Linked DNA regions of Mus musculus. The protein of the gene in region 1 interacts with the protein of each later gene in a pairwise test. Links are inferred from orthologs where the notes say so. Each region holds a gene or a part of one and is shown in the gene's direction. Other genes may lie near its edges.

The links.
Region 2: the proteins of Cby2 (region 1) and Cnnm3 interact in binary tests that used the Homo sapiens proteins (3 or more experiments, as listed by UniProt). The two-hybrid records come from large-scale screens. The link is inferred for Mus musculus from reciprocal best matches to the Homo sapiens genes CBY2 and CNNM3.
Region 3: the proteins of Cby2 (region 1) and Fam161a interact in binary tests that used the Homo sapiens proteins (3 or more experiments, as listed by UniProt). The two-hybrid records come from large-scale screens. The link is inferred for Mus musculus from reciprocal best matches to the Homo sapiens genes CBY2 and FAM161A.
Region 4: the proteins of Cby2 (region 1) and Mmab interact in binary tests that used the Homo sapiens proteins (3 or more experiments, as listed by UniProt). The two-hybrid records come from large-scale screens. The link is inferred for Mus musculus from reciprocal best matches to the Homo sapiens genes CBY2 and MMAB.
Region 5: the proteins of Cby2 (region 1) and Polr1c interact in binary tests that used the Homo sapiens proteins (3 or more experiments, as listed by UniProt). The two-hybrid records come from large-scale screens. The link is inferred for Mus musculus from reciprocal best matches to the Homo sapiens genes CBY2 and POLR1C.
Region 6: the proteins of Cby2 (region 1) and Syce1 interact in binary tests that used the Homo sapiens proteins (3 or more experiments, as listed by UniProt). The two-hybrid records come from large-scale screens. The link is inferred for Mus musculus from reciprocal best matches to the Homo sapiens genes CBY2 and SYCE1.
Region 7: the proteins of Cby2 (region 1) and 1700030K09Rik interact in binary tests that used the Homo sapiens proteins (3 or more experiments, as listed by UniProt). The two-hybrid records come from large-scale screens. The link is inferred for Mus musculus from reciprocal best matches to the Homo sapiens genes CBY2 and C19orf44.

What each region holds. Positions count from the first base shown.
Region 1 is NC_000080.6:75,589,169-75,593,523, reverse strand, and holds the start of Cby2 (protein chibby homolog 2), read left to right. Parts: upstream 1-1,538; 5' UTR 1,539-1,561; coding exon 1,562-1,609; intron 1,610-2,294; exon of another isoform or gene 2,295-2,384; intron 2,385-2,538; exon of another isoform or gene 2,539-2,732; intron 2,733-4,355.
Region 2 is NC_000067.6:36,510,725-36,514,718, forward strand, and holds the start of Cnnm3 (metal transporter CNNM3 isoform 1 precursor), read left to right. Parts: upstream 1-1,142; 5' UTR 1,143-1,186; coding exon 1,187-2,429; intron 2,430-3,994. UniProt on the Homo sapiens protein: Probable metal transporter.
Region 3 is NC_000077.6:23,006,868-23,011,146, forward strand, and holds the start of Fam161a (protein FAM161A), read left to right. Parts: upstream 1-1,479; 5' UTR 1,480-1,573; coding exon of another isoform or gene 1,574-1,759; exon of another isoform or gene 1,760-1,764; intron 1,765-4,279. UniProt on the Homo sapiens protein: Involved in ciliogenesis.
Region 4 is NC_000071.6:114,433,989-114,437,545, reverse strand, and holds part of Mmab (corrinoid adenosyltransferase isoform 1 precursor), read left to right. Parts: intron 1-423; coding exon 424-496; intron 497-738; coding exon 739-836; intron 837-1,002; coding exon 1,003-1,067; intron 1,068-2,208; coding exon 2,209-2,268; intron 2,269-3,557. UniProt on the Homo sapiens protein: Converts cob(I)alamin to adenosylcobalamin (adenosylcob(III)alamin), a coenzyme for methylmalonyl-CoA mutase, therefore participates in the final step of the vitamin B12 conversion.
Region 5 is NC_000083.6:46,245,206-46,249,545, reverse strand, and holds the start of Polr1c (DNA-directed RNA polymerases I and III subunit RPAC1), read left to right. Parts: upstream 1-1,500; 5' UTR 1,501-1,582; coding exon 1,583-1,651; intron 1,652-1,745; coding exon 1,746-1,817; intron 1,818-3,331; coding exon 3,332-3,439; intron 3,440-3,797; coding exon 3,798-3,930; intron 3,931-4,340. Other genes in the region: protein YIPF3, read right to left, coding at 261-367, 508-705, 1,218-1,298. UniProt on the Homo sapiens protein: DNA-dependent RNA polymerase catalyzes the transcription of DNA into RNA using the four ribonucleoside triphosphates as substrates.
Region 6 is NC_000073.6:140,777,801-140,781,357, reverse strand, and holds part of Syce1 (synaptonemal complex central element protein 1), read left to right. Parts: intron 1-423; coding exon 424-483; intron 484-826; coding exon 827-901; intron 902-1,427; coding exon 1,428-1,475; intron 1,476-1,709; coding exon 1,710-1,764; intron 1,765-1,931; coding exon 1,932-2,021; intron 2,022-2,229; coding exon 2,230-2,293; intron 2,294-2,781; coding exon 2,782-2,848; intron 2,849-2,925; coding exon 2,926-3,049; intron 3,050-3,112; coding exon 3,113-3,223; intron 3,224-3,359; coding exon 3,360-3,441; intron 3,442-3,557. UniProt on the Homo sapiens protein: Major component of the transverse central element of synaptonemal complexes (SCS), formed between homologous chromosomes during meiotic prophase. Requires SYCP1 in order to be incorporated into the central element.
Region 7 is NC_000074.6:72,442,418-72,446,729, forward strand, and holds the start of 1700030K09Rik (uncharacterized protein C19orf44 homolog), read left to right. Parts: upstream 1-1,462; 5' UTR 1,463-1,572; intron 1,573-1,585; exon of another isoform or gene 1,586-1,727; coding exon of another isoform or gene 1,728-1,813; intron 1,814-2,332; coding exon of another isoform or gene 2,333-2,333; coding exon 2,334-3,053; intron 3,054-4,312. Other genes in the region: Calr3 (calreticulin-3 isoform 1 precursor), read right to left, coding at 978-1,079, 1,176-1,266.

The sequences.
Region 1 (4,355 bases):
TGAGATTGGTCCCTCAGGTGAAAGCCATACTACAGGGCTGAACCCCTAACTTCTGGGACCTGCACAGTAATGCCATGTAGCTAGTGTCAGAGTGGAACTGAACTGAAGAGCCCCACAGTAGCAGCCAAACCCTCCCCAGGTCTGAAAAGTTACTGTTTCTCCCTTCCCAAGTAATGCAGTTGAAGTAGATGACAGCTCTGGAGGGAGGCTGGGGTGGGAGGGGTAGGGGTAGGGGTGGGGGTCAGGGTCGGGGTTCAAACCAGCCTGGCAGTGAGGCGTGAGCAGCAGCCAGGGGGTGACCAAATAAGTGTGACTGTTGGGGCCATTGTGTGTCACACTGACTCTGGCTAGCCACGTGGGCACAGCCAGCAGCAACCAATCCTTCCTGCTTACAGAAGACTGCTTCTCACCTGAGCTGCTTAGAGAAAAACCATGAGCTCTGAAAACCACCATATTGTTCTGTGATGTCACCTCTGGAATGTTCTGAGTGTTTTGGTGACCAGCTTTTGCATAAGACCTATACCTGGCATCTCACATTGGTATGGCTACTTTCTTGACATAGAAATAATAGTTTAAAGCCAGGAAGACCTGCAGCCCTCTCTGTTTCAGAGACTTTAAGTGGGGTTTTTATGTTAGTTAATTCCTCTATTGACTTCTGTTTCGGTGATCAGTAAGATTTCTTTCTGGTCAGGTACCATTCACACACACCTTTACATGGAGATTATTATAAGGTATATAATTAATTTGTAAGGAGGCATAAGTGTAGTAGTTATGTATTTTAGGTGAGCCACTGAGGCTCCGAGGCTGGGTGGAGAAGGAGAAATCTATTTTTTTTTCTTTTTCACAGCACTCGAGGCCAAATTTTACAAGAAAGAGAGATACCAGATCTGAGAGCCTAGAAATTCCAGTCAATGTGATTCTACCTCAGGTAGGGACAGTCACAGAAGGATGTAACTTACCAGTTCTAGCTACAATAACCCTGTTTCCAGACCTTATAGAGTGAACAAGGAAGTCAGCTGATCCAGTTCTTGTCACGTTGGGTTTTCCCTGGTTGTGTGGAGGAAGGATACATGGTCTCTCTGGACCTTAGGAGCCTCTGGCTTTCAATGAGGTAGGCTGGGTTAGATGATCAATCCACCCCCCCTTCAGTGCTAGGCTTTCAAGGTTTGATGATACTGTAAGAAAAACTCTAACTTTATCAAAGGAGACCCTTCATTATGTGCTGGTGTATAACTACTCTGGATATCTGTGGAGATCTAGAGTTGAGCTTGAACTAGAATTGAAATCTTGAAGAGCTGACACCCCAGCACGTGTCCCATTTACAGCTGCCTAAGGAATTAAGCCCTGCTATGGACTGAAGATAGGTACTAAGGGATGGACATTCAGTTGTTCTTTTAGAGACCAGTGAGTGGTTAAACCCCTTGCAGCTTGCATGCAACAATTTCTTTGGTGGGATGCCTTTGTTGATTTGACTGTTTCTTCTGCTGCTATGTCACAAAGGGGTGGCCTTGCTTTCTCCAGAGCCCCCCCCCCCCAAAGAGCTCACTGGAAGACCAGGGTCATGCAGCCAGAGGGGGTGAAATGTAGGATGGAGGGACCCAAGGCACAGGTAACTTATCTAAAATTTTATCCAGGGAGGTGTGTACAAAAGAGGGTGGTTCTCTCATTGGAGTTCTGTATGAGTGTAACTGTAACAAGCTCAGCAAACATAGTCAGGCAAGGAAAACAGCCTGGATACATGTTTTCCTTACAGCACACAGTGAGCAGCCACTTTCCTGTCTCCTTTAGCTCAGGAAAGCTGAGCCAGAATACTAGGGAACTATGTTCTGACCATCTTCTGGAAGAACAAAGGACCTTGCTAGGTCTGATTCTTAATATGTAAAACTGTGTGTGAGAATGGGTATGGTTCTTCTGGTTCTTTACCAGCCCAGATATTAGGGGCAGATGGGAGATGATAGCCTAGATGTGGGAGTGGGGAAGAGGTTGGGAATAGGATCTGAAAGTAGTTGTAATCTCCCTGTGTGGCCACATACCCGGCAAGAAGTAAGTTAAGAGAAGGAATGATTATTTTGGCCCTTGGTTCAGGGGATGAGTCTATGATGAATGGGAATCTATGGTGGGGCCAGTGCCTCACATCATGGCAGATCAACTTGTTTTATTCAGTCCAGGATCTGCCCCACTCCCACCCCCTTTTGATAAAGTCCACACAGATCTATACGAGGGTATGTGTTGTTAATGCCCTAGGTGTTTCTTAATCCAATGAAGCTGACACAAAGTTCTCATTATTGTCATAGGGTGGAAAGATTAGAAAGCTCCATCCATCTACCCTTGGCACAGATTTCCATCCCCAGCTCTCAGAATCAGCTTAGCAGTGGAGGAGAAAGGTGATTTGAGGAGACTTGGGTTGGTTCTGGTCCCTCTGACCTCCAGCCCCACTTCCTGGGCTTTAGGACCTGGTGCAGCTTCTTGGATTTTGGATGGTAAAAGATGTGGGATGAAGGGGTCACTGCTGACTGGAGATTTGTTTCTCATGACCAGATGTGGCCTTGAGGATGCCAGCCAGGTGTAGTCAACAGTCTTCAATAGGTCCAACTAAGCAGTCGACTGATGTTGAAAAGCAGGAAGAGATTTACTCAGTGCTGCAACACTTGAAGGAGGAACAAAGAGGTCTAATGATTCGTTCCCCAGGTCCGTCTTGGACATGAAGTTTGGGTTTCAATAGAGGGCCAGAGGTACTCATCACAAAGTAGCCTTGGTTGGGGTGTGGTCCAGCCCAGCATCACTATCTCAGCCGCAGGCTCTCCTGCAGCATGGTCTGACAAGTTATAAGGGCTGTGTGAAATCCTTTTCTGAGAGACAATCTTCCCCTCGCTCTTGATGGCATTGGCCTTCAGCCTTTACCTTCTCCAAACATAAGACTATTGGAGAAATATCTTGGGATCTATTGTTTCAATAATCTGATAGATAGAAGGAAAGACATAAGTATCATTTTTGGAATATATTCATGACCACCAGGATGGTTACAGGCCCACCTGCAATGGGGACACAAGCCAGGCAACCTGCCAGGATACTCTCGACTGGTCCTCCTGGGTTAGGAAGTAGTCATGGATAACTAGATGATGTAACCTGACTTACCTCCCAGGCCTGTGAGGAAGACCTCTCTGCTCACTCTACCTTCCCAAACAAGATAGTTGGGGGGGGTGAGGGGGGAGGACTCCTATGAGCAACAAGGTGAGGGAGGATATTGATGGAGTGCTCTTGGCATCATGTGGTGGCCACAGGGCCACACAAGTGTAAGGCAGAGATTTCACAGCTGTGGGAATTGGGAGGTTCTATAGTGAGGACAGAACTTCAATTTAATCCAGGTCAGTGCCCAGCCTATCATCCTGTTTACTGGGGTCAGGTGATGTCTTAGCTCTAATTGTTCTCTTGCTTCTAGAAGATAGTGTCTCCCCTTCCCTCCCCTGGATTGCTAACCCTCAAGCTTTGCGCCCCATGAGGCTTCGTTCTGAGTTGAGCTCATTCTATTTGGAAGAGAATTATAACAGTACCTCTGGCTCCCAGCTTCCAGCCCTGGTGGGTGGCTGGCATTCTCAATTACACCGTAAACGTTATGATTCACTAGTTGTCACCCTTAGGTTTTCTCGGATCTTATTGATTCCCCACTTTTTCCCTCCTCACACTGAACACGAGTGTTTTCACATCTATTTTCCTCTAGCACACCGACTTGCAAATGACAGTGTTATTTCCTGTCTGAGAAACTGATCTCCCAACTCCTCTCCCAGCTCCTCCTCTATAGAGACTCTCTCCCCTGTGAGCAATCTGTGAGTTTCATTAAGTCATCATTATTGCTAGGTCATCAATGAAAGATCTACATCTTGGTCACAATGACCTCTGATAATACTTCCTGGTGCCCACTCTATTTCCCCTTGCCTTTTTCCTCCTTCCCTTTTGTCAATGCCAACGGGAATAGTGCAAGGGCAAGATTTTAGCTTCTATCAAACGATGAGTTGACTTCATCTGACATTTTTTAGTCTCTTTGCTATTGGCATTAAAATCCTATCAAAACCAATCACATTTACCTTGTGGATTATCTTTTCATCTGTTAGCATTTATTAAAACAAACATTGTATTTAAGCATACCACTAGAGAGGTGAGTTATTTGTTTATTTTTTAATTGACAGTGGAACTCAGCTGTGAAGTTAGCACTGTGGTTTCTCCGTCTAGGACCCCGGTGCCCTTCAGTTTCATGTGCATTAAAAGTACCTCAGCTGGCTGAACATTCCCTTCCAGTCAACCCTCAATAGTGTTGGCAAAGCAGGTGCTTTAAAAGCTTGGTCAACCAGCTTGGACTT
Region 2 (3,994 bases), on another chromosome or scaffold:
ACCAACATGGTGGCTCACAAATGTCAACTCTAGTTCCAGGGGATGTAGTGCCCTCTTCTAGCCTCCTTCGGCACCTGCATACACAACACACATACATACACTTGGGCCCACACAGACACAAAACAAAACAAAACATATGTATAAGATGTGTACATGTCTTAGTACATTTAGGGAGAAAGTAGAGAGAAAAATGCAAAAAACAGGGATACCCATAGAGAAGCTAATCCCATAAAGACCACATACAATGAACGAAGAATGCTCCATCTGATCATGCAGGTGTCTTCCAAAATAAGGACAAAAAGAACCCTCTCAAACAGCTTTCTCAACCCGAGGAATCAGAATAAACTGTGGTTGTGAAGCTAGCATGTATGGAAATTCCTGACAGCTGCTATCTCCCTGCATGGCTGAATGACCCGAATGTCAGGTGCATGTCAGAAACCAAAGGCACACAGAATCAGTCTCTAAACATCGTTTTATTGTAAGCTTAATTACATGAAACAAGTGTGAAGATTCAAGGAAACAGATTTTTCTGGGTTTGAGTATTTACTATGGACCTTCCTATCAAGGCATCTTCCTCAAAAGCAGGTGTCTGTCTTGATATCCACAGAGCCCAACGCAAAGCTAAGAGACTTTAGCTTTAAAACAAACCAATAGAGCTGGGTGAGGTTAAGAATGTGTGCTGAGGACCAGAGTTCAGTTCCCAGCACAGCTTCCCATTAGCTTGGAACTCCAGCTCCAGGGGGAATTCGACGCCCTCTTGCGTCTGCCCAAAGCACTGCCCTCGCAAGCGCAAACCCACATACAAATACAAATGATAAGAAAATGTTTTAAACAAACGACTCCAGGTTTCCCTGTGCCCAGTCCCTGGTTCTTATTCAGCCCTTAGCCTTGCTGGCCAGAGGGTTAATGACCTTCCTTTGCTCGTCCACACGCGCCGGGAACTCCGAGGCCGTCCCAGACAGCCGCCCCGCGTCCTCCCTTGCCTGCGGAGCCCCACGCCCCTCCGGCTCGCCCCGCCCCGCGCCGCTTGTTTACTCCCCGGCGCAGCCTAGTTCTCCCCAGAGCCCGCCCCCGCCAGCCGCTTATTGGTCAAAGTGACGCGGAGGCCCGCGCCGATTGGCTGCAACAACAGAGGCGCGGGTGAGTGGGGTAGGCTGCGCCCGAGGCCCAGAAGGGGTAGCAGGCCATGGCGGCGGCTGCTGCGGCTGTGGTGGGTTGGTTGGGCTGGGTGCTTGCCGCGTTCTGTCTGGGCAGCACCGCAGGGGAGGCGGCGCCGGCGCCGGGCGCGGGACTGCTGAACTTCTGCACGGAAGAGGACAGCGCACCGGGCGCGGGCTCCCTGCGCGGAAGGGCAGCGCCAGAGGCCACTTTGTGCTTGCGACTCTTCTGCTCCGGCTTGGCCAACAGCTCCTGGACCTGGGTAGCCGCCGAGGGCGCAGGCTGCCCGGAGGGCGGACGGGCCACGGAGCCCGAGGAGGCGGCCGCCCCGACGGGCGAGTGGCGCGCGCTGCTGCGCCTGCGCGCCGAGGCCGGCCACCCGCGCTCCGCGCTGCTGGCGGTGCGCGTGGAGCCGGGTGGTGGGGCCGCGGAGGAGGCGGCGCCGCCCTGGGCGCTGGGGCTGGGGGCGGCCGGGCTGCTGGCCCTGGCGGCGGTGGCGCGCGGCCTGCAGCTGAGCGCGCTGGCGCTGGCGCCGGCCGAGGTGCAGGTGCTGCGCGAGAGCGGCTCGGAGGCGGAGCGCGCGGCGGCGCGGCGCCTGGAACCCGCGCGGCGCTGGGCCGGCTGCGCCCTGGGCGCGCTGCTGCTTCTGGCCAGCCTGGCGCAGGCGGCACTGGCCGTGCTGCTGTACGGGGCGGCGGGCCAGCGCGCCGTGCCCGCCGTGCTGGGTTGCGCGGGGCTGGTGTTCCTGGTGGGTGAGGTGCTGCCGGCCGCCGTGAGCGGACGCTGGGCGCTGGCGCTGGCGCCGCGCGCGTTGGGCCTCAGCCGCCTGGCGGTGCTGCTCACCTTGCCCGTGGCGCTGCCGGTCGGGCAGCTGCTGGAGCTGGCAGCGCGGCCGGGGCGTCTGCGGGAGCGCGTGCTGGAGCTGGCGCGCGGCGGCGGCGACCCCTACAGCGACCTCAGCAAGGGAGTGCTGCGCTCCCGGACCGTGGAGGACGTGCTCACGCCGCTCGAAGACTGCTTTATGCTGGACTCCGGCACTGTCCTAGACTTCAGCGTCCTCGCCAGCATCATGCAGAGCGGCCACACGCGCATCCCAGTGTACGAGGAGGAGCGCTCCAACATCGTGGACATGCTCTACCTCAAAGACTTGGCTATCGTTGAGCCCGAGGACTGCACACCGCTCAGCACCATCACCCGCTTCTACAACCATCCACTCCACTTTGTCTTCAACGATACCAAACTGGACGCTGTCCTGGAGGAGTTCAAGCGAGGTAAGGGGACGCCCCTGTTAGAAAGGCCCCAGAAAGTGATGGCCTTGTACCTGCGAATGACCTTTGGAAATATTTAAAGACCCACCTTTTAGAAGCGGAAGGAAGTGCTATGGGAGTCTGATGCGGGAGGATCGGAAGGTGGTTACCCTGTTTGTTAAATAGAAAATTTTAAAAAAGTTGGGGATGTAGCTCAGTGCTTGCCTAACATACATGAAGCCCTGACCATTACCCAGTACCACATAAACCCAAGCAGTGGCCTACCTACTTAGAAGGATGGAAGCCGGCCTGGACTAAAGATTCTGTCTCAAAAGTAAATGAATGAATAAAAAGATCCATTGGCAGGCAGCAAGCATGCCTACTTGGCTCTAATCCCAGAGGTTTCCTTCTCCTGGGCTGTATTGTGCACTTGGGCTTCCTAGTTGCCCCAGATTCTTGGATAGTAACTAAAATGATGTCAAGAGGGTTAGGTAACTGGAAACTGTTGTCTTTGCCTTTTTAGCATTAAATTAGCTGGACCTGTAATGGTTCCTGGCCCTTTCAGATTGTGGGATTAGAAAGGACTCATAATACTTACTGTGGGTACTGAGAGAACTTCCATTTTAATGTCATCGGAAGCAACTCATGAATAATGACTTAATTTTCCTTCCTGGCTTTTTTCTCCCTCTTAATTTTTTTTTTTTTTGAGATTTTTATTGTTATGTTTATGAGTGCCTGTGTTGTTCCTCATGCATGCAGTGCCTATGGAAGCCAGAAGAAGGCGCTAGGTTCCTTGAGACTGGAATTACAGCCAGCCACCCTGCTGGTCCTGGGAACTGAACCCTGCATCCTCTGGTGCTCTTGCTTCCTCTCTTTCATTTAAATTGTTTTTCAGTGCATGTCAGCTACCTGCTCTTCCCTAACCCCATCTCCATTCTCCCCTTTTTTACCTTAATGTCTCCTTTCATTCTTTTTGAGCAACCCCTATTTTTTTGTTTTGTTTGTTTGTTTTGTTTTGTTTGTTTGTTTGAAACAGTGTTTCTCTGTGTAGCCCTGGCTGTCCAGGACCTCACTCTGTAGACCAGGCTGGCCTCAAACTCAGAAATCTGCCTGCCTCTGCCTCCCGAGTGCTGGGATTAAAGGCGGCGCCACCACGGCCTGGCGATCAGCCCTTTTTTGTTTTTTAAGATGTACTTATTTTCTGTGTGTGAGTGTTTTGCCTGCATGTGTTTATGTACACGGTGTGTGTGTCTGGTGCCTGAGACAGTCAGAAGAGGGCTTCGGATCCCCCAGAACTGGAGTTACAAATGGTTGTGAGGCACCGTATGGGTGCTGGCAACAAAACCCAGGTCTTCTGCAAGAGCAAATACATGTGAACATCTAAAGTTGAAAGTAAAAACTATGAGCCGCTCCACATATTTAAATGTGGACCCCTAGGGGACAGGTGGCACATACATTCAGTCCCAGCACTTAGGAAAGCAGAAGCAGGCGGATGTCTGAGTGCACGAACACCCAGGGCTACACAGTCTTGAAACAAAAACAAGGTATAGGCTCCTCTATAACACTCCATGCTCCTCCTTGGGCTGCTT
Region 3 (4,279 bases), on another chromosome or scaffold:
TTTTTGTTGTTTTTCAAGACAGCCCTGGCTGTCTTGGAACTCACTCTGTAGACCTCCAAGTCAGAAATCCGCTGGCCTCGGCCTCTGCCTCCCAAGTGCTAAGATTAAAGGCATACGCCACCACTGGCTGGCCTGCAAAAGCACTTTAATGGTGCCATTTTCTTTCAGATCTACCTTTTTTTTAAAAGCTGTGTTAATAGATATCTGCAAATTTAGAATACTGTCAGCCGAAACTTTCCTATTCTATGTACACACTGATGTCCTTCATATCCATTATTTACTATTTCATGTTCCTAAAACCATCCCACTTACAGGGCTTCAGTCTGTCAATAGGTCTTGTTTACACCAAGTCCCATCACAGAACTAGTTGCATGTGGCTGGCAGAAAGTCACTATTCTCTCATTCAGATGGCTATGGATCCCTCCCCACATCTAGCTTTTCAGAACCAACCAGTATCCATCATCAGTTCCGTTGGAAAAGGCAAGCTCAACCGTTTTGAAACAGGAGGCAGGGAAGGTAAGGTGATAGGTGCTTCGCAGAGGGGAACAAGGAAGGGGTGGTAACAACTGCGTCAGAAACAGGTTCTGTGGAAGGTGTGCCGCATAACGTGGAAAGTACTGGAACCTTAGGGTGGGGACAGGGGCGCTAGCTGGGGTTCTAAGTAAAGTGTTATGCTGCAGGTGGCTGAGAGTTCACTGAAAAAGCATCCAAAGTGGCCAAAAACCTGAGGCCGATCAGGAGGTTGGCAGGGCTGAGCTGGGAGGGTGTGGTCCTTGTAGGCTCTCGCCCCCTCTAATCTGCCGCTAAGCTAGCTGCAGAACCGCTAGACAAGCTACCACATCTCACTCACTGGTCTGAGTGACAGACACTTCCTATGTCTAGTGTCTTACTGGTCAGTCGAGAAAAAAGAGGGTGGGACAAATAAGTATTCTCCTTCTGATTGGTCAACCCGCTGGTTCTTGTCAATTAGAGATGAACTGGGTTCTCCGCCATGTTGAATAGCGCGCTGCAAAGCCTGTTCTTTTCTTGGGATGGTCACCCAACACCCGGTCCTTCCTGTCCCTCTGTGCCCTAATATGTTGATCCAGCTAGTTAAAACGCGCTTTCTGCTTTAAGTCCGTATACCGCGAGAAGTTCTCGTTTAGGTAGTTAGACAGAAATAAAGCTAGAAACCAGAGAAAAGCTCAGTCCCTTGCCGGAGACCTGGGTGTCATTCAAGTGAATCAGTAATTGTTCCGGCGCTGGTGAGACTCCCATTGAGCAATTAGCTTGAAGATTGCGTTTTACTTTAGCTTGCTGTGGTAGTCGTTTGTGTAGCTTCAGACAGTTATGCTTCTAGAAACCGCAGGCTTGTATCAGAAACCATCATTAGACACTAGCTGGACTCGGGGTTCGCATTTGTGACAGTGAAAAAGGACGTTGCGTGCGTTATGGTCCGTCGCCACCTCCTGTAGCGTCCCTAGTAACCGAGCCCCTAGTAACCGCTCGCCCCAAGCCAGGATCTGTGAGCTAGGTGGCAGCGCCTGCACGCCGCCCTGGGCGGGCGCGGGCGCTTGGGCTTGGAGGCGGGGCGATGGCTTCGCCGCACCAGGAGGCCAGACTGGCGGCAGCCAGCCTTCTCCTGTCTGCAAATCCCATCACCGGAGCAAGGGTCGCCCAGTACGAAAGCGAAGACTCCTTAGAGTCCTTGGTAGCAGCGGGGTTGGCGGCGGCCATGGAGGAGGAGGAACAGAAGAAAGTGTGGCAGATGCGGGCGTCGGTAATGTGAGAGCCCGGAGGGGTCTGAGGGCTGTCCGATCGTCTCGGGCAGGACGGGTGGAAATGCGGTGTCCTCTGTAGACCCTCCCTGCTCTCTGCCCCAACTAAAGGTTGCTGCAAAACTTTATTGGAGAGTGGTTTTTTTATAGCTATTTCTAGAGTATGCAAAGAACAGAACTCTACTTCCTATTTATTCTCCAGTATATCTTGGGAATAAATAATTTTTTAGTTCTGATTTTTACATTTATTTTTGCCCCCCCCCCCCCCGAAGACAACTGATGTGCCCATAGTTTTCATAAAAGATCAACTTTCAGATGATAAGTTGTACTGACAAGTGTGTTTTATCAGTTTTTGTTAGGAGTGGATTTTAGCAGTCCATTAGCAAACCGTGTTTGAAGTTCAGTGGACAGATGCTCCAGATGTAGAGAAGCATCCAGATAAACAAACCGCCGAAATCCCAGTTCCCTAAAGGGATGATATGGGTGCAGTGAGATCTTTTCACAAAACATTTTCAGTATTATGTCCTGGATGTGTTATATGTTTCTAGCAGAAGGATATATATGGAGGAGGAGATTATACACACACACACATAATCTCTACCTCTGGAAAAGCAACCAGTACTTATAACCACTAAGCCATCTCTCCAGCAATGCTTTTATTCTTTAAAAATTTCATACAGTATATTTTGAATGTAACCACCCCCTCTCCTTCATCTGTTCTATTCATTTTGTGTGTTTGTTTTTAGATTTATGTGTATGAATGTGTGCCTTGGGAGTTACTGAGAGTTGTGAGCTACCATATGGATGCTGGGAATCAAGCCCAGGTCCCCTGCAAGAGCAGCAAGTGCTCTTAACAGTTAAAACATCTTAGCATCCTTTTAAATTTTTGTTTGTTTTCTGAGACATAGCCTGGCTGTTCTGGAACTCACTCTGTGTAGTCCAGGCTGGCCTCAAACACACAGAGCTCTGCCTACCTCTGCTTCCTGAGTTTAAAGGTGTGTAATAAAAACGCCCAGCTTTTATTCACTTTAAAAGCCGGGAACCTTGGACTTAAACCAGCACTCTGCTGGGATAAAGCACCAGGACGGGCACTCGCTCCCTCGACACCCTGTTCCTTAGCAGTGCTGGGGTGGGCCGAAGGGTTTGTGCTTGCTAGGCAAGTGGTGTACCAACAGCTACATCCTCGGCTTTTTTGTTTTATTTTAGACAGTGACTCCTTTGGTCCAGGATTGCCTCAAATTTGCTATTTGTGGCTAAGGATGACCTTAAACTCCTGATCCTCCTGCCTCCACCTTCCAAGTAATGGGATTAAGCGTATGGGGCCCCAGGCCTGGCCTGTAGCAAATGTTTCAAGGTTATGTAGAGTGAAGCAGAGCCTAACCAGCTATGAGGTTCAGAACCCTAGGACTGGTTTATACCTGATAATCATTCAACACAGCCTGTCATAGGTTACAGAAGGTGAAATGCCAGGGAAGGCAAGAGCTTGGACCCGGGTCAGAAGCCGTTTTCTTCTATGTGCTGGGTGATCTTAGGCCGTGATTTCTGTTTCTTTGTCTATAAAAGGACTATAATTGTCTCCGTTTTCCACCTTATTCAGTTGTTATTAAGAACCAAAGGAGAGAATGGGTGTCATTTCTAGAGTAATTTACATAAATTAGTAGTAATTGTAACAACTGCCAGCTTGAACAATTCACTTGGAAATTGATTTATACTTTGGCTTACTACGGCAGAAAGGTCTGTCCTTTGTATAGTTGTACTTATGTTCCAGAGTGCCCTGCTAACTGAAGATTTTTGTTATAAACTGAGTTTGGGTTTCCAACACCCAAATACAAACCCAGTGTGTTGGCTTTTGTCTATAATCCCAGTGCTGGAGAGAGAAGAAACAGGCAGATTCCTGGAATTTGCTGAAAGCCCTACCTCAAAAAATAAAGTGGACAGTGGCTAGGGAATTCAGCTAAGATTGGATGTTAGCCTGGAACCCCTGCTTATCCCCTGCACAAGCTGGGGAACTACATCTGCCCTCCTGCCAACCCCACCCACCTAAAGAAATCTCCACTGTCTGCTTGGAGAATACTCAAGCTAACATGTCAGCGCTCCTTGTCTCTGAGTTTCAGACAGCCTGCCCAAGAGTGCCCATTTGGGGGCTCAGTTTTTGACCATGCATGGACACAATCCCAGCTCCTAGCTAGCATGGCAGCACTCCCAACCTAAACTCTACAAGATCCCCTTGCTTTGGCCTGGATCTCTCACACCTGTGAGATCAGTGAGCCCACCTGAGAGCAGCCTCCTAATAAACCTGCCTTTATCTACTTCTAATCTGGTCTAATCTGGTCTGTATCTGTGTCACTGAGGGGACAAAAAGCCTGTCACTGACCTCTGGTGTACACACACACACACACATTCTCTCTCTCTCTCTCTCTCTCTCTCTCTCTCGCACACACACACACACACACATACACATTCTCTCTCTCACACACACATTCTCTCTCTCTCACACACACACACATTCTCTCTCTCACACA
Region 4 (3,557 bases), on another chromosome or scaffold:
CTTGGGTTGCAGAGGACAACCCAGGGCTCAGGCTGAAGAGCTGTGTGCTCAGGAGCCCTGCTGCCTTCGAGTCTCAGCAAGGTGGACCTCTACCTGTTAGCGCTGCCATTGAGTTCTGAGGGGCATCTGCTAGCAGAGTCACTCTAGGATGCAGTGGGAGGCCGAGGTCACCCAAGCTTCACTGTAGTCTGGTTGGGGCCTACGTGGGTCCCAGGAATGGACAGGTGTCCTCCCTGAGTCCTCCTGTCCCGCTGACCACCGTCCCATGGGCTATCCTTCACCATTTAGGCGGCACTGGTATGTTTGGTCCAGTGAATTAAACTCCAGGAGGTTTCGTCGTGTTTAGAGTTAGGGCAGTTGGATTCATGGTCCAACGGCCCCGACACGGTCCACAAACGGTCTTTCTCCTCACCCTTGCTCCAGATCCAGTGCATGCTACAGGACGTCGGCTCCGCCCTGGCCACTCCACGTTCCTCAGCCAGGGAGGCTCACTTAAGTAATTCCCAGCCTGCACAGGGAGTTAGTGGGGCCTTGGGGTGAGGGTGGCCCTGAGAGTTGCCCACTGGGAGCCCTGGGCCCTAGAGCTCTCTGGTAGGGCAGACATCCTTGCTCTCTGCCTTGGGAGAGATGTTATCCTGGAGGCTGGTGGAAGCAGGGCTCCCACACAGAAGGAAGGGGTGTTTCCCAGTGGTCTGGTGGCATGCTTACAGTAGGGCCTCTCTGCCCTTGACTCCTTAGAGCACACGGCCTTCCAGGAAGGGCCTGTCCTGGAGCTGGAGCGGTGGATTGACAAGTACTCCAGCCAGCTCCCCCCGCTCAAGGCCTTCATTCTGCCTGTAGGTATTGGGGTGCTCAACTTGGTGTGGCGGGGTAGTTGCTTTGATGGAAACACGGGCTTGCCAGTAGACCCAACTGTAGCAACAGAGTCACCCCCTGCACCCCGGCCGCTCAGAGGTATTCCAGCATAGAGCAACAGTGGCCAACACCCACTCTCTCTTTCAGTCTGGAGGCAAGAGCAGCTCTGCCCTGCACTTCTGCCGCGCTGTATGCCGTCGTGCCGAGAGACGGTAAGGGCCCCAGAGGACAATGCAGAACCCTTGTCGTATCTGAGCCACCGCCTCTTCATTGTACGTGTCCTGAGTACTGTCCTGGAGGGCACTGTAATGAGTGACTCACACTGCTCAGAGGCCAAGCAGAGCTTTTTTCTGCTCTGAGAGCCATAGGCTCCCTAGGATGTGGGGCTGAGGAGAACACCATGAAAGGACCCTGCTAGAAACCAGCAGAAAGGACTACAGGGAGCCCAGCGGTTGGGGGACACCAGAGAAACTCTGTCCACATCTCAGGGGTTCCTCACAGCACCTCCAGTCTGCAGGGGTCAGGAGCAGGCCAGTGAGATTCTGGGGGTCCGCAGACTCAGATCGCAAGCCTTTTCCCTTCACAGAAGACTGCTGAACCTGGACATTTCCCAGCATTTCCTGGGTGACAAACAACAAAACAAATCAAACCAAAACCAAAATGCTTGGGCCTCCAGAGAAAATGGCCATTTGCATAAAGTCACCCGCATCAACCGGGCTTATACCATCAGAGCACGAGTCTGAGCTGGTGTCGCACCTTCAGTGCAGCTGACAGGCCCCGGCTGCATAGTGACATGCCAGAAAGCTCTCCAGGCAGGAGGACATCTAGGTGAAGAAGCCAAGTGGGAGGTGTGGGGCGAGCAGGACTAGAGACGCAAGCCTTCCTGGGCCGATGGCCAAACCCAACACACACCCCCAGGCTAGCTCAGGGGAGGATCAGCTGGGATCAGGAGGTGGGATGGGACAAATTGTATGTGCGCAGTCAGGTGCGGGACCTCGGGTAATTAGAATTACAACTTAGAACAAGTAGCTCCTTGGGGATTAAGGGCTAGACGAAAGCCCTTCTTCGAGCCCTGCCCACAAAGGAGCCCGGGCCAGGCTTTGGTGGCACAAAGGCCAGCAGACTGGGCAGCCTACCCTCACCTTGCCTGCTGTGCGTCCCCCTTCACTGGCCAGGCCACGTTGCGTGTCCCCAAGCTAAGGGGCTGGCTGAGGCAGTGGTGGGTACGCTGTGTCTGGTTTGTGCTTGCCAGGACTCGGTTGAATAGTGAAGTCAAGTGGTGGCAATACATGTCCCAGGCTCCTATGTGTGGAGCCTTGCTCTGTAACCTGACTGTGCGTTTTCTCTTCACAGTGTGGTGCCTCTTGTCCAGATGGGAGAGACGGATGCAAACGTGGCGAAGTTCTTAAACAGGTGCTTAAGTGGAGTGTGGCGGGTCTGTCTGACCACCAGGCCCCTCCCTTCATCATGTATATTGGACTGTGCTGTGTCCCCAGTGGCCCTGTCCCACTCTGAAGTCAGGCTCTGTTTAGGAAATAAGAGCCAGCGCAGGCACACCTAAACAAGGGTCAGGCGATCTTAAGGTCTGCTCATGGAGACTGCTCCCAGGGGCCTTGATGTTGGTAGAGCGAAGTCCGTCCAGCCAGCGTCTCTTCCTGAGGTGCTCAGACGGCCCATAGCCAGGTTGAGCTCAGTGCTCTGAGCAAGGTTACTACTCCAGGAGTGCATTGCCCTGCTCTCTGCTGCCCCACAGCCATGCTTCTGGTCTCTACTGCATCCTGGCTCAGATGGTGTTAGTGCAGACCAGGCTGCGCCCCAGGAGCTGCCTAGCAAGACAGGAAGTGACCTCACAACACCTAGCTGTGGGGTTATGTGTGTCCTGGGTTACCTCCCCATCCCAGAATATAGACTACCTTGGATCTTCATAGAATCCTTCCTTCTGGGTGGAATGTCACCCAGGTCAAGAGAGAAATGGCTCCTTTTAAACTCAGAAGAGGCAACCCTGAGGATACCCGCTGACTCTACAGTGTTGTGCGGGTCAGGGTGGGTCGTGCCCCCTCTGCAGGTTCCAGGGAGTCACCAAGAAAGCAGCACGTGGTTGCCCCAGGAACACATGGCTCAGAAGGACAATGCCAGGACAGAATCTTGACTGGGAGCCCAGTAATCAGCTCCGAGAGTTAGGGCACCAGGTGGAAGGGGGCTGGGCACAGGGTGCCGGGCAAGCAGGAGGGTGTGGAGAAGTGACAAAGGCTTGCTTTGAGCCTCCAGGAGGTCAGAGCCTCGAGAACACCTGGGACAGGTGTGGCGTTGTCTCCTAGGCTGTCCCTTTTCCTGCAGAAGGCCTCCCACCCCGAGCCCATCACTGCTGGGCCTGACAAAAAGCTAGTAGACTCTCTCATGAGAGTACTAAAGACCACTGATGCTCAAGTGGGACACCAGCAACATCTAGAGACAGTTTGGGTCGTCATAGTGGGTGCTGGGTACCACTGATACTTAGTATGTAGACACCAAAGACACCATTGACCATCCTCCATGCACAGGAGAGCCCCAGCCAAGAAGACTGAGCCAGAATGTTGATAGTTCCAAGGTCACGACCCACCTAAGGCCTCTTTATTTGAAATGTAGCAGAGTCTGGAGCCGGGTTGACCTGCAGGCTTCTGGGCTGATGCGGCTCTCCTGGATTGGTTGCCTTTTGGGCTACT
Region 5 (4,340 bases), on another chromosome or scaffold:
GAGGGAGGGACGAGAACAAAGTGAGTGCCTGCCATTTAAAGGATGGTGGTGTGGAGGGAAGCGGGGTAGGAGGGAAGAGGGGTTAGCGCACTTGAGGGGTACCTAGCCAACTGTACCTTTCACCAAGTATTCACAACATGTTCAGTTCAGTAATGGGGTTGCAAGTAGGGGAGTCCACCAGAGCTCAGGGCTCTGAGTCTGAGTGAAGTCTGGATGAGGGTCTAGATGTGAGGACAGATGTCTCAGAGAAGGCGCCTCACCTGCTTCGGACCTGGGCAGGCTCCACATCAAAGTAGGGTCTGAGGATGTCAATGTTGGCATACAAGCTGAAGGCCCTGGAAGCCTGTCTCTTCCCTGCCTGCCACATCTGAAGGGAAATGGGTATGATGAGACTCTTGGCTCTAGATTGTTATTCAGTCTCGGCGAGATTTACGTGTGGGTCTAAGTGGAAAACCTCGATCAATTTAGGACATGCATAGGTCCTTTTTTTTTTCCCCATTGGCTTACCTGATCTGCTACCTGCCGGCTCAGTTGTCCTTTAAAGCCTTTCATGCCAAGAAACTCCCCATCCTCTTCTTCTGCAGCAGCTGCATCAGCATCTACTTCTTCCTCCCGCAGGCGCTGGTGCAGCTCACCCATGTCCTCGAAGCTGGAGCCTGAGGTATCGTCCATGTTCTCCATATCAATCACAGCCGAACCCCCACCCTGTGAAGACAACGGCTCGGAGAGTGAGGGGCCCTTCCATTGCATCCTCCCCGTTCTCCGCTCAGCTGACAACTTGAGGCTTTGATCTTCCACTGCCGAGGACATGGCTTGGAACTGCCACTCTTTCAGTGGTGGCAACTCTTGGTCGCGTCACTTTTGTGGTCCTGGAAACCCTACTATTTATTTTCAATCCACGTTGTTTTCCTACTTTCCACCTCAAAGCTCCAAAGAGTTGCAAAAGAGCCCATCTGCCATTCCCAATTCTCAAACAAGCCTATTTTTAGGGGGTGCCAGTGGATCCTAGCCTCCAGCCCCCACAGAGAGCCGAGGCCCGCGGGAGCCCTAGTTTGTCCCTTTCACGCCAGCACAAGAGCTACACCCTTCCCCGGGAAGACTCAAAGGGGACAGGCTGCGTTTCAGCGGAGCCGACCTCTAGGCCCCGCGAGAGAGAACAGCAGCCACCGTCCGGACGCCGCCAGCCCGGGGCTGCTGGCAGCAGGCGCGCTCCATACCTGGATGTTTTCTTCGAAGCCTCCCCATTCCGGGCCAGCACCATTTCGGACGCCGCTGGCCGGCGCCGCCGGAGTCGCCATGTCCCTCGAGGCTTCCCGTCGCTGGAGCACGCGCGCGTGGGAAGAGCGTGCGACCCGGGTCCGAGGGAGGGAGAGGTTCAGAGGGGCGACCGCCCGGGCAAGGTGGGGATCCGCCGGGACGCCGAAGGGAGAAACCCGGATGTTTGGCCCCACTTGACGTCCGGAAGTGAAGGACGTGGACAGAGGCGGGGCAAGATCTCGCGACATTCAAGATTGCGGGAGCCCGAGCGTTGCTGCGGAGACGCAGGCGCGGACTCGCCTCCTTTTACAGCGAGTGGCGGAAGATGGCGGCGGCTCAGGCGGTGGAGGAGATGCGGACTCGCGTGGTTCTCGGAGAGTTTGGGGTTCGCAATGTAAGAGATCGGGGCGCGGGAAGGATGAGGGCGGCACGGGGAAGTAGAGGCCTGGTGTGAAGGCTGGCCACACTGCCCTTTCTGTTGGCTCTAGGTCCACACCACGGACTTTCCCGGTAACTACGCCGGTTATGATGATGCCTGGGACCAGAACCGCTTCGAGAAGGTGGGTAGAGCTGAAGGTGCCCAGTCGGCCCGAGGGGCCAGACCTCGCAGGTTGGGGTGGGGGTCGCTGTTTCCATACAACACGCTTGAGCTCCATGGACGGGTCAGACACGGTGGTTGCTCTCGGTGGGATAATGGACCACACAGACAAGTTATTCCAGAATAGTAAGATAGCGGTGAAGATGGCTGGGATATGGTCAGGAATCATTGATGCACTGAATCCAGCTAACTGAAGGGACGTAGTTAAAGGTCAGTGAAGGGAATGGCATTTGAATTAAGCTTTGAACTATGAATAAAAGTTGAGTAGTGAAGGCCTGATTGGAGCTTCATTATATATGATTTTTTTAAAATTCACTTTGAAACTGTTTCTGTTTAGCCCTGGCACTCTCTCTATAGTCCAGGCTGGACTTGAACTCAGCCATCTACCTGCTTCTGTCTCTGCCTCCCATGCACTGGGATTAAAGGCATGAGCCACCACGCCCAATTTAGAATTTTTGAGTAGACTGATAACATTTTGCAATCTTGATAGCCAGGAGGGAATGAATTCTGGTGAATCTGCCAGCTAGTGTATGCAGGCTGAAATTGGGGGCATAGATGAACTCCAGACAGTACTAACGGAGTAAGGCAGGGAGAACTAGACGATTTGCACCAGTGCTCTGGGGAGGCAGTGTGTGAGAGAAAGGACTTTGTAACTTGAGGACCCTAAAACTTTCTTGATATGCGTGTTTGCCTGCATGTGTATTTGTGCACCACTGTGTGTTAGTGATCCCTGCAGTGTGAGGAGAATGTTAGGTCCCACCAGGTGCTGGGAACCAAACCCAGTTCTTCTGCAAGGGCAGTTAAGTGCTCTTAATAGCTGAGCCATTTCTCCAGTGGCACTGGGGAACTGTTGCTGGCTGTGTCGTTTGCCAAGCAGGAGAACAAGAATGAGGGTACACTCAGGTGCCTGCTTGTGAAGTCTATGTGCTTGCTTGAGCCAGGAGCATGGTGGAGGTCAGCCAGGGGATTAGAACCTAGGAGACAGGAACGTTTACTGTGTGGGTGGAAGGGGAAATTTAGAAAGAAGAGCAGATAAGGAAATTGGTGTTCAAAATCCAAGGGAATGTAGTTGAGAAAAGTAGGTATTAAAAAATAACGACAACAGACATGCAAGTATCAAACGGTCTAAGTAGTGTGGGAAGTTCTGCTTTTTGTATAGTAACTTCTCTGGGTGGTTTGTGGAAAATCTGGGAAGATTGGGCATAGTGGCGCACACCTTTAATCCCAGTACTTGGTAGGCAGAGGTAGGTGGATCTTTTGAGTTTGAGGCCAGCCTGGTCTACAGAGTTCCAGGACAGCCAGGACTACATGGAGAAACCTGGCCTTGGAAAAACCTAAAAAACAAGAAACACACAGCCTTGCCCCCAAGAACAGGACTGGAGACAAAATGTCTACTGAGCACCATGACTTTAGGGTGAGGGGATAGTGCAGGGTAGGAGCCAGGCAGGAGTCATGCAGGAGCTTCCCTCCTTCTAGAATTTCCGTGTGGACGTGGTGCAAATGGATGAAGACACGCTGGAGTTCGACATGGTGGGGATTGATGCTGCCATCGCCAATGCTTTCCGGAGAATCCTGTTAGCTGAGGTATTAGAGGACGTGGGCTGGAGGGTAGAAATTGTATCAATTTGTAGACGCTTTTCTCAAAGCCATCCCTCTGGGGCAGGTAGGGTGGTTCACACCTATGACAGTCTGGGCTACATAGTAAACATTGTATCAAGAATCTGAGCCACACGCCTTTAGTCCCAGCACCCCAGCACTCGGGAGGCAGAGGCAGGTGGATCTCTGAGTTCCAGGCCAGCCAGGGCTATACAGAGAAACCCTGTCTCAAAAAACCAAAAAAAAAAAAAAGAATCTGAAGGGCAAAATGAAAAAGTGCTGCCTCTTCCTTTTCCAGGCAGGGGGATGGGTGGAGGTCAGTTGTCTGCTTTGCCTCCTTGGGCAGGTGCCGACAATGGCCGTGGAGAAGGTCTTGGTGTATAACAACACGTCCATAGTCCAGGATGAGATCCTTGCTCACCGCCTGGGGCTCATCCCCATCCTCGCTGATCCTCGTCTCTTTGAATATCGGAACCAAGGTGAGGCTGAGAGCTTGGGATTATGAGTTAGGCAGAACTGACCTGGAATGCATGGGCTCAGGTCCCAGGCCTACTGCTGGGGCTTTAGTTGGCATCTTGTACATCTGCCTTCGCCTGGGAGAACAGCTGTCCCCACCCCACCTCTAGTCTCACTGTGTACACCCTCGGAACACAGCGCTAGCAGCACTCAGGCTCTCTCCACCTTTACATTCTTCCTGGGGATTGAACTTGGGTCTTCAGGTTGGAGCAAGCATGCACCCTCACTCTGTGAGCCTTCTTGTCAGCCTGGTATTAGAGTTGATATGGCCAGGCACGGTGGTGGACAGCTTTACTCCAAGCACTGGCAGAGGCAGGCAGATGTGTCCTGAGTTCAAGGCCAGCCTGGTCTGCAGAGCAAATTGCAGGACAGC
Region 6 (3,557 bases), on another chromosome or scaffold:
GTCTGTTAGATCCAGAGGTTTTACCCATAACCTCTTCCACTTTACATCCTGCCACCTTCTACTTGATCATATGTATCCTGTTTCCTTCTCATTTCCTCCTCAGGGCACCCACTGCTTTACCCAGAGAGCCTGAGGGCCTGCCTTCCTTGATGGAAGCCCCCCAAGACACTTTCCCATATCTGAGAAGCACTTTTTGACCTTTGCCTATGGACCTCTCCCCTTGCTTCATTTCTCTTGACTGAAGTTCCTACAGCTTGGCTCAGTATCTCTATCGGTCTGTTCCTTGTCCCCACAATCCTAGATTGAGACCGTAATGTAGCACCTGTACACGTGAGATGCTTAGGAGATTTCTGTAAAGTAAAAGCTGTAGAATCCCAGGTTAGACACACTCTATCAATAATGAGCTTCCTTTTTGCTTTGCAGTGGGAAGCCTAGAGCCCCGGATTGAGGTCCTGATTAACCGTATTAATGAGGTTCAGCAAGGTGAGCTCAGTGATTGGCTGCCATCCAGGACCAGCTACAAGTTTTAACTGGCCAGGCCCAATAAAAAGTGGAAATACAGGGGTCCTTGTTAAAGTCTCTGTAGTTATTTCATGAGAGCATAAGTGCAGGGCCCTTCTGCCTGTAACCGCCATAGTCATTTGCCTGTGAACACAGCCCTGCTGCCACCCGAGCCTAGCAAGAAGGGCCAGGATTTAGAAAGCCTTGTTTCCTGCTTTGTAAAATCTGGGCCCCCTCTAAGTTTTCTTTGGGGGGAGAGTGTGAAATCTCCTCATTTGTCCTTGAGGCTGTACTTACCAAATGTCTGTCCTCCTCTTTGGTAAAGCAAAAAAGAAAGCCAGTGAGGAGCTTGGAGAGGCCCAGACTGTCTGGGACAACCTGCAGAAGGAACTGGACTTACGTAAGTTAACTGAGAGTCACTAGAGGTTTCTATGATGTCTTAGACTTCTAATGCAGTCCTGCAAACACCCGGGCCATGACTTCTCCTCCAACCTCATTTCTTCTAGCAGTCCCATCTTCTAACAGGAGGGCTGTGGAAATGCCTTTGAGGCCTGTTCTGCCCTGAGTCCTTTGCAGAGATGATCCTCCATGTATTGCCCTAGATAATACAAGTTATTGCCTCACACCAGCAGCTGTATATTATTAGAAATGTCTTTCTTAGTCATCTTGCATTACCTGATCACATAGCCCTTTTGATTGGTGTTGTTTTTCCTGGTCCCAGTGGTTGTTGTACATGGACATGGATATCTTTTGTGAAAATTAGGGCACATTGTGTTTACAGGAATGTGGATACCCGTAGGGGTAGGAACTTACCTCAAGGAAACTGCATCTGGGTTAGGGTCACAGTTATACTTGCCTCTCGTATGACTGCCCTTGACGTTTCTGTGTTTGGTCTCTAATGCCTGAACCTTCATCATCTTTTCTAGTACGTGAAGAGAAAGTACGTCTGAAGGATATTTTGAACAGAAAGGAAGGTATTCCCATATTACCCATTTCTAGGCTTTGTGATACCCTATCTAAGCCCACTCTCTCTAGTAGCTAGAAACTTAAGAACTCCCAACCTTGTGACATTCCTATGGCTTTTACCAGACCCAGAAAATGTCAAAATCCAATCAAGTGTCCACAGACTTGATGTGATATGTTTTTTTCTATTTGCCAAATTAGATGCCTTAGCAAGCACTCAGAGGGCACTGTTGTTATCCTTACAGAGACCCTGAGGATTATGCAGCTGCACTGCCAGGAGAAGGAAAGTGAGGCACAGAGGTAAGATGCCATGCCTGCAGTGGTTTCCCTAAGTGTTCCTGTTACCTCCCACACCATCTGCTCTGCTAGACACAGGCTTGAATACAGAGGAACAGAATAGAAGCCCCCAGCCCTCCCTCCAGGAGAGTCATTCAAAGAACATGGCTGAGTGTTGGTTTCTTTCCCAGGAAGCACAGCATGTTGCAGGAGTGTAAAGAGAGAATTTCTTTCCTGAACTCCCAGATCGACAAAGAGAAGGCCAAACTAAGAAAACTGAGGTAAACCTCAAGGTGTGAGGCTTGGGCTGGGGACGTGATATAGGTATAGTAATGCCCGGGATGGCCAGCCATAGTCCTGGATGGTCAAGGGGTGAAGCTATTCCTTGTGTAAGAGTGGACACGAAGTCCTTGGGTGCTATATAGACTCAGACCTTGGCCTAGCTCTGTGGTAGTTCATGGCCATCATGGCTCTGTGGTTGCCTCCTAGGTTGGATTTTGAAGAACATCTGGAGACTTTGATGAGTCAACATAAGGACACCTTGGAATTTCATGTGAGTCATACAACACTATGCTACCTATTATACTTTGTCCCTGTGCAAGCATTGGTTGGTGGTCCTGCTGTCATCGTAAATCCAGTCCCTGGTGACCACTCTTGAGATACTTGGTGTCTTCAGTATTGGTCCTTACCATTCACTCATGTTGCTGTGTCCATTCAGTGTTCTCTATGTCAGTGAGGAGGCCAGGAGGAGAGAAGAGAGGAAGAAACGCTAATACCTAAGTCTTCAGAGTGTCTCAGGATTGTAGGATTGCAGATTTTAGGGTTTCGAATACTTGCCCTAGAACCTCATTACAGGGTTAAAGGTCCGAGGAGAGGGAATGACGAGATCCATAAACCATAGCTGGCACACACCAAGGGGCAGGGTCCTCGGAAGTGAAACTTACTGAGAGGAGAAATGATGAGATGTAGACAGGCTTCTCTGAAGCTCAGGGGAGCCAGGAGATCTGGACATATCTTCTTGTTTGTGCCCCCCCACCCCAGAAGCCTGAACATCTGACAAAGGAGATGTGTGTTTTGGACAGCAGCAAGGAGCAGCTGCTCAAGGAAGGTGAGGTCAGGGCCAGAAGGGTGGCTCTCAGCTGCACCAACCTGCCCTTACCTTCTTATTACTCTTTCTCTCTGTAGAGAAACTGATGAAAGTAAAGCTGGAGGATGTGAGACAGCGGCTGTGTGCCCTGGGCGGGCCTGAGGGTTCTTCCAGCCTCATTGAGGGACTCTTCCTCCGAAGCCATGAGGCAGCTGCAGCAATGTAAGATGCAGGGTGGGGCAGGAGGAGGAAATGTCTAGCACTGACTTCTTTCCACACTATCAGGCAGATGTTCAAGGATGAGAACAAGAAAGCTGAGGAGTTCCTAGAGGCTGCAGCTCAGCAGCACGAGCAGCTGCAGCAGAGGTGCCACCAGCTACAGCAGAAACGGCAGAGGTAGGCACGGAGCTCCTGTGTCCTCATTTCTCCCAGGAAGGTGAATGGCAGCTGTTTCCCCTGTTCTGCCGGTATGTCTCTTCATATTTTCTTGATTTTTCTGCTTTCATTCTCGTCCTTCACGCTTCCCGGACAGGCTGAAGGAAGAACTGGAAAAGCATGGGGTACAGATCCTTGCTCATAGTACGCAAAACGAAGAAGACAGCTCATGGAGGATGGTAAATCCGGGAACAGAAGGGAAAGGAAAAAAGTGGTATTCTCCAGAGTATAGTCTGTGGAAAGGGCATTCCTCTGAGGAGGCACAGCTGAGGCAGAGGTGTAAACTCATGGTAGC
Region 7 (4,312 bases), on another chromosome or scaffold:
GAAGGGGCAGGTGGATTTAAGAGTTTCTAGACATTCAGAGATACATAGAGACCCTGGCTCAAAACAAACAAAACTAAAAACCTAAAGAAAATACAATTTAATTATTTATTTATTCGTTCATTTTGTGGGGTTGGGGCATGTGCCAAGGTTAGAGAACAACTTGTGGGCATAGGTTCTCTCCTTCCACCCTGTAGGTTCTGGGGATCAAACTCAGGTTACCAAGCTTGGCCACAGGCCAATCTAGCTGGCCCCACTTTTCATTTTGATTTCCCCTCTTTTTGTTTTGTGCCAAGACCTGGCTGTATCTTAGGGTGGGCCAGAGCTCACTCTATAGCTAGGCTGGTCTTGAACTTGTGATTTTCCTGCCTCATGAAGACCCTGGAGTGCTAGGATTCTAGGTTGTGCTACAGCATGGTTCCAATTTTCATGAAGTGAGATGATCTTGGGCAACTACTGAAAAATGCCAACACAGTCATTCCTGTTGACTCCAGTTGTCATTCCAGCACTTTCTGAGCACCTCCACTGTCATTCCAATCCACACTCAAGGTGCATACTGCCTCCAACATACATAGATGTGGAAAAAGTAACCAGCACTTGGGAGGCTGAGAGTTAGAGCCATCTAGGGCTACATGAGACTGCTCAAAGACTAAACCAAAACACACTTCGGTCAATTTTTTTTTTTTTTTCTTTTTCCAAGACAGGGTTTCTGTGTAGCCCTGGCTGTCCTGTAACTCACTCTGTAGACCAGGCTGGCTTCGAACTCAGAAATCCACCTGCTTCTGCCTCCTGAGTGCTGGGATTAAAGGCGTACGCCACCACCGCCCGGCTACTCTGGTCAATCGTAAAGGAATGTAAACCCAAACAGGGTATTGCAGAGCCTGCATGTGCCTCAGTGTCCTGGCTTGAACGGTGGGTGCGTTGTCAGGGTGCCATGAGGTTTCTAACTCTACTCTATTTGCTCCCGATTCTACACTAACCTTTGTCTTTCTCTTTATGCCCATAGAACTTCCCCGATGAGACTCTGAAGTGCCCAAACTGGGAGTCATTGGTGGACTGCACCCAGCGGTTCCTCCAGCGCTCTGTGGGGAGACAGGAGGGTTAGTGGTGCAAAGCGCACGGGTCCATATCATAGATGGTGGACACAGGCCACCAGCCACCACGGCAATCGCCTTCACCTCCGTCTAGAAACTCCTCCTGGAAGTACACAGTGGCTAGTGCCACGCGCAGCACACAGATGGCCCAGAGCAATGCACGAGCCGAGACCATAGCTGCACGTGCGACTTCAACTCTCTGCTCTCAGGCGTCCGTACCGCTTGACGGGCGCAACTCAGAAACTACAACTCCCGGCATGCCTTGGGATTATGACCTGGGGACGCTAATGGGTGCGCTGAAATTACTGGTCCCGTGACGCCCGGGATTGTGACCTGAGTTGCTCATTGGTGGGTGGAGCGCGGTGGCCGACGGGAAATGTAGTCTCTAGTTGCTCTGGCGCTGTCTCCTGAGGCAACCGCACACTGGGGCCTATACTTTGAGGCTGAAGCCTAGCGGGAAGAAGCCAACGCAGCTACTCAGGTGACCTCACAGTGATCAAGTGGGTTGGCAAGGGGCTTCAGGAAAACGGGCGGCATACCCACACCAGAGGTTCCTCATCTGGAGAGCGATGGGGCATGATCCCTTAGGGCTTGCAAACAATAGCGAGGAAACTGAGTATAGGCAGTGTTATTAGCATGGAGAAGAACTCCAGGTGCTGTGTGATATGGGTCCTCTCAGTTGTGTATCCTGGTTACAGGTTCCAGAGCAGGTACAGATATAGGTACGAATCTGGACGCCTGTCCTCAAATCTCTCTGAGATTCTTTGGTTTTTTTTTTTTTTTTTTTTTTTTAGATTTATTTATTTATTATATGTAAGTACACTGTAGCTGTCTTTCAGACACTCCAGAAGAGGGCATCAGATTTCGTTATGGATGGTTGTGAGCCACCATGTGGTTGCTGGGATTTGAACTCGGGACCTTCAGAAGAGCAGTCGGCGCTCTTAACCACTGAGCCATCTCACCAGCCCCGATTCTTTGGTTTTGAGCTCACTCAACCTTACCAGTTCTTATGCCTGTCCCACACGCCCTACAGCTTATTAAAAGAAATACTTTTATCTGGGTGGTGGTGGCATACACCTTTGATCACAGCACTTGGGAGGCAGGCCTGATCTAAGGAGCTCCCAGGAAAACCAGAGCTATACAGGGAAACCTTATCTTGAAAAAAATAAAAACAAAACAAAAAGTATACTTATACAGTGAAGTACTTTTAAAGGCTGAAAACACAATCTTTATTTTCCTAGAATGGCTTCCACAAGAAGACCCTTTGGCCCTCCACGTAGTGGTTTTGACTTAAGGGATATGTTCTTAGATAGCTCGAGGATGGAAGAGATCAGAAACTTACAAGCCCGAAGTCTTGGCCAAGTGACACCTGGGCAGAGCAGAATCTTAAAGAGAAACCAAACGATGGACGAGAAATATTTGATGCCCAAAGAGGAGGCCATGGCAGGGAGGGGGGTGAGTCTGGGCTTGAGGCCTCCCACCATCTCCTCCAAGACCAGAGCCAGTGAGGCCCTTAGGAAACTGGCCCAGATTGAAACCAAGATCCTGAATCGGAAGCAGGTGCCCATGGCTTGGTCTGATGTGGAGTCTGACTCCACATCCATCGAGCAGAGTCTTCCTAAGAGGACAGGTGCAGCTTCTGTTTCTTCCCAGTACCCACACAGAACTTTCCAGAAACAAGTGAACAAAACATGTGTGTCAAAGAGCGATGGGCCGAGTGGTAACGGTAGCAGGTTTCTGAAGAAGAAGGAGCTGCCCACTGAAGCGAGGTCCCCAGGGCTGGCAGTGGGGACAGGGAAGCAAGCTCTGCTGCCCACAAAGAAAGAATCTGCCAGTGACGAGGAGGAGGAAATGCTACTGCTTAGAAGCTTGATGGAATCTTCTAGAGAAAAAGAAGCAAATAGAAACCAGGAGCTCCCTGGCTCCAGTGTCAGCAGGAGCAACCTTGGAAAGGTGTTCTTGGTAACGTATTCTTTTGTTGGTTTCAAATTTTACTTTTTTTGGGGGGGTGGGGGGCAGGTTCTGGTAACAGAGCCTAGGGCTTGCTTTGTACCAAACAGCTCCTTAGCTAGTGAGCTATACCTCAGACCCCCCCCCCCCGTACATATGTCTCTGTGTGTATACCCCACATATGCACACCTGCCTGCAAATATAGAAGAGGGCATCGATCCCCTGGAGCTAGAGTTAGAGGGGTTGTGAGACACCTGGTAATGGGTGCTGGGAACTAAAGTCAGGTCCCTTTCGGGAAAGAGCAGCAAATGCTTTGTCTTGTTAGTTTAATTTGAGGTCTCAATTGAAGGACTGCTCACATTAGAGGAACTGTCTTGATTGTTTATTGATTGTGAACTGGTGATGCCTTGTGGGCTTGGGTTGTGTGAGAAGCTGACTTGAGTGCGAGCCTGTGGGAACAAGCTGCTGTTGTGTGACACCATTGCCAGGGAGATGTGAAGAGATATCTCCTTGCCTCACATAGGGAACCAGTGACAAACGAAAGCACAACAAGCTAAGAACAAATTGGAGAACCAATCAGTTTATTGGGATTACTTACAGGAGTAAAAATGGCTAACGCCGGGCGTGGTGGCGCACGCCTTTAATCCCAGCACTCGGGAGGCAGAGGCAGGAGGATTTCTGAGTTCGAGGCCAGCCTGGTCTACAAAGTGAGTTCCAGGACAGCCAGAGCTAGACAGAGAAACCCTGTCTCGAAAAACCAAAAAAAAAAAAAAAAAAAAAAAAAAAAAAAAAAAAAAAAAAAAAAAAAAAAAAATGGCTGAAAGACACTGATGGTCGGAGCCTACCCAGCACTGGTGACAGCTTGTGGTCATAAATACAAATTCAGGGCAGCACTTTGGCCATTTGGCCCTATCATTTACCAGAGCCACAGCTCTCCTTTTCTCCTAGCTTGTTGTATGTAGTTTTAGTAACACGAATGCTCTTTCTCAAGAGGTCAGTCCGAGCTCCCTCAACCTCTTGCAGATCGCTCCACCAAGCCACCAAAGGCTCCCCCAGCTGTGCCTGTTTTCTGCCCACCTTAGTTGCCATGGATGGAAAACACCAGACAGCCTTAATATTTTAAAACTAGCCAGATAATGGCTGGGTGAAGAATATCCTGCCCCATCCTCCCTGGCCTTCACTCACCGCGGAGGCTACAGACTATAGGTACTATGAGACGTACATGCCTGCCACTTCCTCTGCTTCACTGCCTGCTTTGCCTCCTCCCTCTC